Arabidopsis thaliana: one gene and its partner. The protein of the gene in region 1 interacts with the protein of each later gene in a pairwise test. Each region holds a gene or a part of one and is shown in the gene's direction. Other genes may lie near its edges. The genes, in order: petB and PGR5-LIKE A.

Region 1 (3,826 bases):
GTTATCAATGGGATCAGGGATACTTTCAACAAGAAATATATCGAAGAGTTAGTGCTGGACTGGCTGAAAATCAAAGTTTATCAGAAGCTTGGGCGAAAATTCCTGAAAAATTAGCTTTTTATGATTATATTGGTAATAATCCAGCAAAAGGGGGGTTATTCCGAGCGGGTTCAATGGACAATGGGGATGGAATAGCTGTTGGATGGTTAGGCCACCCCGTCTTTAGAAATAAAGAAGGGCGTGAACTTTTTGTACGCCGCATGCCTACTTTTTTTGAAACTTTTCCGGTAGTTTTGGTAGACGGAGACGGAATTGTTAGAGCTGACGTCCCGTTTAGAAGGGCAGAATCAAAATATAGTGTCGAACAAGTAGGTGTAACTGTTGAGTTTTATGGTGGTGAACTCAATGGAGTGAGTTATAGTGATCCCGCAACTGTGAAAAAATATGCTAGACGGGCTCAATTGGGTGAGATTTTTGAATTAGATCGTGCGACTTTGAAATCTGATGGTGTTTTTCGTAGCAGCCCAAGAGGTTGGTTTACGTTTGGACATGCTTCGTTTGCTCTACTTTTCTTCTTTGGACACATTTGGCATGGTGCTAGAACCCTCTTCAGAGATGTTTTTGCTGGTATTGATCCAGATTTGGATGCTCAAGTGGAATTCGGGGCATTCCAAAAACTTGGAGATCCAACTACAAAACGACAAGCAGTCTGATGCAACATTGCTTTTTTTCTTCTAGTTTCTGTTTGTTATTTTATTTAATAGGTAGGGTACTGTAGGAATCTTTATTTAAATCGCTGCCGTTTCTTTGACTCTTTTTCTTTCTTTATCCTCCCAAGTAAACAAAACGTAAACAAAACAGGTATGAAAGCTATAATTGTAAACCACGATCAAATTTATGGAAGCATTGGTTTATACATTTCTCTTAGTATCCACTTTAGGGATAATTTTTTTCGCTATTTTTTTTCGGGAACCACCTAAAATTTCAACTAAAAAATGAAATAATTTTTCATTATCTTCATTAACGTAATCAGCCTCCAAATATTTGGAGGCTGATTACGTTAACTAGTCCCCGTGTTCCTCGAATGGATCTCTTAGTTGTTGAGAGGGTTGCCCAAAGGCAGTATATAGAGCATACCCAGTAAAACTTACAAGTAACCCAGATATAAAGATGGCGACTAGGGTTGCTGTTTCCATTATTATAGAATTGAAAGACCACACCGGATCTATGCTAAGATCATTTATTTACAACGGAATGGTATACAAAGTCAACAGATCGTAATGAATACAAAATAAGATTTATGGCTACACAAACTGTTGAAGATAGTTCTAGATCTGGTCCAAGAAGCACTACTGTAGGGAAGTTATTGAAACCATTGAATTCCGAATATGGTAAAGTAGCTCCCGGATGGGGAACGACCCCTTTGATGGGTGTTGCAATGGCTCTATTTGCGGTATTCCTATCTATTATTTTGGAGATTTATAATTCTTCTGTTCTACTGGATGGAATTTCAGTGAATTAGACTGAGAAGAATCTTGAAGTTCTAGCTTTTAGCTCGATACAAAAAAGTAAAGTATGCAGGTCTAACAATTTTAGCCTATTCTCCTTTGGTAGTTCGACCGCGAAATTTTTTTCTGCATTGTATATTTCCGGAATATGAGTGTGTGACTTGTTAGAATTGACCCTATGGATAGTACAGAGAATGGGGTCTGTCATCTTTATCAAGATGGTTTTACTTCGTCGGATATTCATTCGAGTATCTGGAGCACGAAATAGATCAAATAGATCACAAAGTATTCGAACTATGATTCATACTTAAATACTCAAACCTCGTAGCCGGACTTCTTTCCGTTCTATCTTATAAACTTTAATAAATCAAAAAAATTTTCTGCTTTTAAACTCTTATTTGGATCAAAGGACAAACGCTTCTTTGTATTTTATGTTTTTAGTCATTATAGCTTTTTTTTTATTGAATAAGTGATGATCCAATGGTTCTCACTCAGTGAACTTTGGACTTTGAAGGTTTCATTAAATTATCGTGGTTCTCGTATGAATCTGAGGTTTCAATTGATTAGTTAAGTAGGGTCTTAACAAGAGAATTCCTATCAATAATAAAGAAAACAAGAAGAAATCCCTGTCCCCGTTCCATACAAATACCAAATAAAAAAAGACAATAAAGATAGGTAATCTAGAAGATTCAAGAGGCCTGTAACGATCAACACAACATAAAGACGAATGAGCTTACTTGATTTTTTGGCATTTAACCACAAAGACGAGCTTTCGCATTTTGACTCTTTCATATCTTTAAATAATAAAAAATAATATTGAATGAGAGACAAGTTTAAAACTTTATATTCCATATCTGTTTCAATCAGTATTTGGGTCTTTTTTTGTTTGAGCTGTACGAGATGAAATTCTCATATACAGTTCTTGGAGGGGGAGTAACCTTGGTTTACCTATCTCAATAAAGTTTATGATTGGTTCGAAGAACGTCTTGAGATTCAGGCGATTGCAGATGATATAACTAGTAAATATGTTCCTCCGCATGTCAACATATTTTATTGTCTAGGCGGAATTACCCTTACTTGTTTTTTAGTACAAGTAGCTACGGGATTTGCTATGACTTTTTATTACCGTCCAACCGTTACTGAAGCTTTTGCTTCTGTTCAATATATAATGACTGAAGCTAACTTTGGTTGGTTAATCCGATCAGTTCATCGATGGTCGGCAAGTATGATGGTCCTAATGATGATCCTGCACGTATTTCGTGTATACCTCACCGGTGGTTTTAAAAAACCTCGCGAATTAACTTGGGTTACTGGTGTGGTTCTGGGTGTATTGACCGCATCTTTTGGTGTAACAGGTTATTCTTTACCTTGGGATCAAATTGGTTATTGGGCGGTCAAAATTGTAACAGGTGTACCTGACGCTATTCCGGTAATAGGATCACCTCTTGTAGAATTATTACGCGGAAGTGCTAGTGTTGGACAATCCACTTTGACTCGTTTTTATAGTTTACACACTTTTGTATTACCTCTTCTTACGGCCGTCTTTATGTTAATGCATTTCCTAATGATACGTAAGCAAGGTATTTCTGGTCCCTTATAAATAATATAGATTCTAGGTATTTGTACTTACTTATTACTTGGTGAAGGAACGATAGTATTTTATTGCTATAAATATGGATTATTAAAAAAATAAAACATGTATTTGGATATTTCCCTTCAACTCCACAATATTTTATTATTTTTTTGACATAAAAAGTTGAAGGGAATTCTATGAAGAGATAATGGATTATGGGAGTGTGTGACTTGAACTATTGATCGGGCCGTGCAGAAATATTACTTTATCTGCTACATTGGAATTCACAACCAAATGTGTCTTTGTTCCAACCACTGTGTAAGCCCCATACAGGGGATAGGCTGGTTCACTTGAAGAGAATCTTTTCTATGATCGTACCCGACGCTGTCGTGGATGAGTGGGCTCCGTAAAATCCAGTAGATTAAGGGATGGAACAAAATCCTGATTATGTTTTTAGTTATTTTGGACTAAAAAAAAAAAAGAAAATAATTATTAATAGTAATAGTATGTAAATGCATTCATTTTCTCTGCATCGACTCGATTTATGATACTATCGGAGTGAATACAGGATCTAATGAAGAGTAGAGGGTAGACTCCATTAGTAACAAGTAAATCCTTTGTATTTGAAAAATCTCGATATAATTGTTGAGATTAAGGACGAATTTATAAGGTATGAGACGACCCAGAAAGCACTTAATCATGATAAACTTTTTAAGCTTACGTGGGTGTTGAGCATTTACCTGTA
Region 2 (5,018 bases), on another chromosome or scaffold:
TTCATTTGTAGAAGAAGCTCTTCTAAACCACCAACTTCTTTCTCTAGACGGTCAGGCTCTAAACCTAGACCGACAGAGAGAGCCTTGAAGACTTTAGTCGCTAGCAAACGAAGACACTTCGCGTACTCACTCGTTGCTTCTCTACAATCATCGAAAAACGTTAATAAAAGATTCTAAAACCAAAACAAGATTTTGTTTTCTTTAGTAAAACAATTCAAAGCTTACATGTAATCACTTGGTGTCTTAGGCCAAATTGATAGATCTCTCTTCTCTTCAGGATACGCAAGATGAAAGAAGTAATCTTCCCATTCCAATTGTCCACTCGCGTTGTTAGCCAATTTACTTCCATAGCCTTGAATCTTTCCAGTGGCTTGATCGTTTGCATACTTCTCCTTCTCTTCCACAGACAAACTGAAAAACTCTTCTCCGGCTTTCTTGACACGCTCCATTAGATCAGCTGGTATTCCATGGTTGATCAAATGCATCACTCCCCAATCCAAAGATGCCTTTTTCAGCTCCTCAATACAATTCTCACGGATCTTTTCATCGTCTGACTCGATGTTCTTTAGATCGATTGTGGGAACTTGAGGACCGTCTTCTTTCTTCTCTTCTAGGAAAACATCGTTGATGCTCTCGAGCTCTTCTTTTGGACGAATATATTCTTTTGGAATCGATATGATTCCGCTTTTTGCTAGACTCTCAACTCTTTCAACCGCAACCATCTTCTTTAGTCTTCTGTTTAAAGCTAAAACAGAGCAGAAAACAGAGTAAGAAGTAAATAAACTTAAAAACAGGGGAAAAAACAGAGTAATAAAAAAAATGGATTTGTTTTGTTTTTCTTCTTACACTCTTTTTTGTAATTGGTTGCAAGTAAATGAAATGTGCAAAGACTCTTTCTTATATAGCAAAGTTTTTACTATACTTTTAGTTAGAAGAGTTTGTTACCGAACTAAGAGACATTGTAGAGCTACCGGTGGTTAGTGCTATTGTTGTGAGGTAAGTGCGTGACTCACTTCACGGTCAACGGGAGAGGATGGTTGGGTTGACTGATTGGTCAAAAAGATTACTACTATATGGGCTTGGGTCTAGACTCCCAGAAAAGGCCCAATAGAATTAAACCCATAATCGCTATCAACGTGTTCTTCGTCGCGTGCTTTAAGCGTGTCTCCACGTGTTCACCTCTACTAGTTCTTCTACTAACCACATTTTCTTTTTGTAGTTTGGAAATCAATTACTAAAAAAACAATTTGACTGGTTTTCAATTTCAAATAGACAATTGTATGTGGATCAATAATTCTTTTGGAAAACTAAATTATTTATCTTGTTTGTTTTTTAAAATTTGGAACTCATTTTTATTTTAATGGTTTGTACTAAAGTATATTATCAGCTGAATTCAACTACACATACTACATGTCAAATTTTTTTAAAAAATCACCATGTTTCGAAAAAAAAATCTTCTTACTCATCTCACAGTATTTTTTTTATTGTATAATCAAAGCCTAAAATTATGTCTTTTCTCTATTTTAAGTTTTTGTTTTGTTTAAGAAAACCGGATATTTAATGCTGACGTGGATATTCTGATTATGAGGATGAGAGGAAGGAAAAAATAAGAGAAATCTGCCTAGGAATTTATCTCCACACTTCTCTTATCTCCTAATTTCTTCCCTCCAAATTTATAATAAAACCAAAAAAAAAAAAAAAAAAAAAAATCAGAAGAAACCTGAGAAGCTCACAGTAAACACATCTTCAACCACAGGTTCATACTTACTGAAAAAAACAGAGGAAAAAAAGGAGCTCCCTTTTCTATCTCTAAGGGAAAATGGGTAGCAAGATGTTGTTTAGTTTGACAAGTCCTCGACTTTTCTCCGCCGTTTCTCGCAAACCTTCCTCTTCTTTCTCTCCTTCTCCTCCGTCGCCGTCTTCGAGGACTCAATGGACTCAGCTCAGCCCTGGAAAATCGATTTCTTTGAGAAGAAGAGTCTTCTTGTTGCCTGCTAAAGCCACAACAGAGCAATCAGGTCTTGATTTGGCCACTTTAGTCTCGATTTCGAACACTCCGCCTTAGTTTTCTGTTTACAAAGCCATTTGGATTCGAATTTGTTCACAATTGGGTTTCCAAAGTTTGAGCCTTTTGAAATTTAGGATATATTATTTTAATTCAACGTCTCTAGCTCTGAAAATTTATGTTTTTAAGTCACTAACTTGTAGTATCCAGACTCGAATCCTGTTAAAGTTCAATTCTTTGAAGGGTTTGATTGATTCAATGGCTATAACTTTGGTATAGTATATTTGTTTGTATTGGACTTTGTTGACTATTTAGTGGTTAACTCTGTACTAAAGTTTTGCAATGTCAGAAGTTGTGTAACTATTAGGTTGCATAAGTAAGGTATCAACTTTAGATTTGCTATGAAGTTCTCAATTACAGTCTTTTTGTCTTCCTTAAGGTCCAGTAGGAGGAGACAACGTCGATAGCAATGTTTTGCCCTATTGTAGCATCAACAAGGCTGAGAAGAAAACAATTGGTGAAATGGAACAAGAGTTTCTCCAAGCGTTGCAAGTAAACGCTACAATAAACCATTTTTTTTATAGTTGCCAAAACATGATATATATCTAATCTTCAAGAGCCTGAGAATTGCTTTTGTCTTTTGATTACAGTCTTTCTATTATGATGGCAAAGCGATCATGTCTAATGAAGAGTTTGATAACCTTAAAGAAGAGTTAATGTGGGAAGGAAGCAGTGTTGTGATGCTAAGTAATCATCAACTATGGGACTAAATTTCATTTCTTTGTTTTGGTTTCTTTGGTGCAAAGTCCTAAATCTTTTATTGGTAATATGAAACACAGGTTCCGATGAACAAAGATTCTTGGAAGCTTCCATGGCTTATGTTTCTGGAAATCCAATCTTGAATGATGAAGAATATGATAAGCTCAAACTCAAACTAAAGGTTTCCATTCACTTTTTATGCTTCAGTGAAAATAGACATACCCTTATAAGATTGGTTTAAGCTTCAAGTTTATGATTCTTTCTGTATCCATGTAGATTGATGGTAGCGACATTGTGAGCGAGGGTCCAAGATGCAGTCTCCGTAGTAAAAAGGTAAATAGAACATAAGATTCATTGTTAATATTAGATTATAGATAGATACTAATTTTCAGTCTTTATGAACTTCCTCAAATGTAGGTGTATAGTGATCTCGCTGTAGATTATTTCAAAATGTTATTGTTGAATGTTCCAGCAACCGTTGTTGCTCTCGGACTGTGAGTCTCTATACCGAGTTTTCTATTCAAACATCCAAATCATATGAAACCCATATTTCGTCTTTGTTTATTCATTCAATTCTGTACTTGCAGCTTTTTCTTCCTGGACGACATTACAGGTTTTGAGATCACATACATCATGGAGCTTCCAGAACCATACAGTTTCATATTCACTTGGTTCGCTGCTGTGCCTGTGATTGTATATCTGGCTTTATCAATCACCAAATTGATCATCAAGGACTTCTTGATCTTGAAGGTAAGAACCATTACCATTACTCAAGATTGCAAAAGAAAAACATCAAAGAGCCTTTTTATGAATGTTTCTTGTTTCACAGGGTCCTTGTCCGAATTGTGGAACGGAAAACACCTCCTTCTTTGGAACAATTCTGTCAATCTCCAGCGGCGGCAAAACCAACACTGTCAAATGCACCAAGTAAGATTTTACCTTCGAATATGGTTTCAAAAGTGTAACATATTACTATCTGATTCTTTGATTATCTCTGTTTTTAGCTGCGGAACCGCGATGGTGTATGACTCGGGTTCTAGGTTGATCACATTGCCAGAAGGAAGCCAAGCTTAAACCCTGTGAGGTACACATCTCATTTATAGTAAATTCTTTAGATCACATGGAAGTCAGAGATAGTAAAATTTGCTTTTTCCAGCTAGATGAAGATGGGAAAAGAAGAATGGGTTTTGTCAGAAGCAAAATAGATTCGAAGTTAAATGTATATGTAAGATCTTCCATGTTAGCTCTCTCTCCTTCACATGTTTTCTGATTTGTAAGTATTGTGTGTAAGCAATAAGAGATATATAATATGAGCACTTCTTCATCTACCTTTGTAGATAAAAATATAATCATTACTATAGTTAAATCAAATTGTATACATGAAAGACCAAATTCGAATTTAAAATGTTTATTTCGATAACTTTACAATTTCAAATTAACTTTGGTACATTTCTAATACTATTATGATTTGTATCTAAAACGACCTTAAAAAATGATTTTAAGTCAAGAAAACGAAAAGCATACACGATTATATACATTTGCTTACCGAGGCAAGAAACTATGAGAAATGCATGGTGTTAATTTGGATGTAAATTTTATGAAATGGTGTGGAACATAAAGAGATTGATTGAGAAGAGAACTAAAGTCAAGAACATATATAATGAAAGGACAGACAAAGGTAACAACATTGCACAAAAGAGGATAAAGTCACACAAACATTAGCACGCCAATGTCTCTCTCTTTTTTAGTCTAAAAATTGATTACAATTTTTTTTTATGAATTTTAATTAACACAGAAAGTGTAATCATGATCATCATCTTCCCATGCCTCTATCATCATTGATCCAATTTTCTCCTCCACTACTGAACCTATTAATTGCTTTTACGTTGATTTAAAAATTTTAAAACCTCTACGTTAGAACGGTCATATGCTTATTTAACAATTAGATCATGTCTTCTATAAAGGTAAAAGAGAAATCTGACAAATGAAGTGTAAGTGTTTATAATGTTTGTGTCCCAAAACACACATCCCCCACAAAAGTAAAAACACCATCAAAACTTTCTTTCTTTCCTCTTATCTTCACTTCCTCTTGTAAACCCTAGATTCTCTTGTTCCTCTTATGGATTCATTCTCTTTTTGTATCATCATCATGATACTTCTCTTATCATTCCACCAATCTAAGTCTCAATTGATTCAATCTACACATCTTCTTGATCTCATGATCAGAGATTACACCATTAGAAACTTTAAGCTC

Evidence for each region.
Region 2: the proteins of petB (region 1) and PGR5-LIKE A interact in a protein complementation assay, tested with the Arabidopsis thaliana proteins (one study listed by BioGRID).

Annotation. Positions count from the first base shown.
Region 1 is NC_000932.1:73,185-77,010, forward strand, and holds petB (cytochrome b6), read left to right. Parts: upstream 1-1,656; coding exon 1,657-1,662; intron 1,663-2,466; coding exon 2,467-3,108; downstream 3,109-3,826. Other genes in the region: psbB (photosystem II 47 kDa protein), read left to right, coding at 1-713; psbT (photosystem II protein T), read left to right, coding at 898-999; psbN (photosystem II protein N), read right to left, coding at 1,065-1,196; psbH (photosystem II protein H), read left to right, coding at 1,301-1,522; petD (cytochrome b6/f complex subunit IV), read left to right, coding at 3,297-3,304. UniProt on the Arabidopsis thaliana protein: Component of the cytochrome b6-f complex, which mediates electron transfer between photosystem II (PSII) and photosystem I (PSI), cyclic electron flow around PSI, and state transitions.
Region 2 is NC_003075.7:12,005,338-12,010,355, forward strand, and holds PGR5-LIKE A (PGR5-LIKE A), read left to right. Parts: upstream 1-1,648; 5' UTR 1,649-1,819; coding exon 1,820-2,018; intron 2,019-2,444; coding exon 2,445-2,557; intron 2,558-2,655; coding exon 2,656-2,752; intron 2,753-2,844; coding exon 2,845-2,945; intron 2,946-3,040; coding exon 3,041-3,097; intron 3,098-3,181; coding exon 3,182-3,258; intron 3,259-3,351; coding exon 3,352-3,514; intron 3,515-3,593; coding exon 3,594-3,691; coding exon of another isoform or gene 3,692-3,695; exon of another isoform or gene 3,696-3,768; coding exon 3,769-3,838; 3' UTR 3,839-3,848; intron 3,849-3,920; 3' UTR 3,921-4,199; downstream 4,200-5,018. Other genes in the region: LDOX (leucoanthocyanidin dioxygenase), read right to left, coding at 1-141, 226-722; AT4G22900 (transmembrane protein, putative (DUF1191)), read left to right, coding at 4,884-5,018. UniProt on the Arabidopsis thaliana protein: Ferredoxin-plastoquinone reductase involved in cyclic electron flow (CEF) around photosystem I. The homodimer is probably not involved in CEF.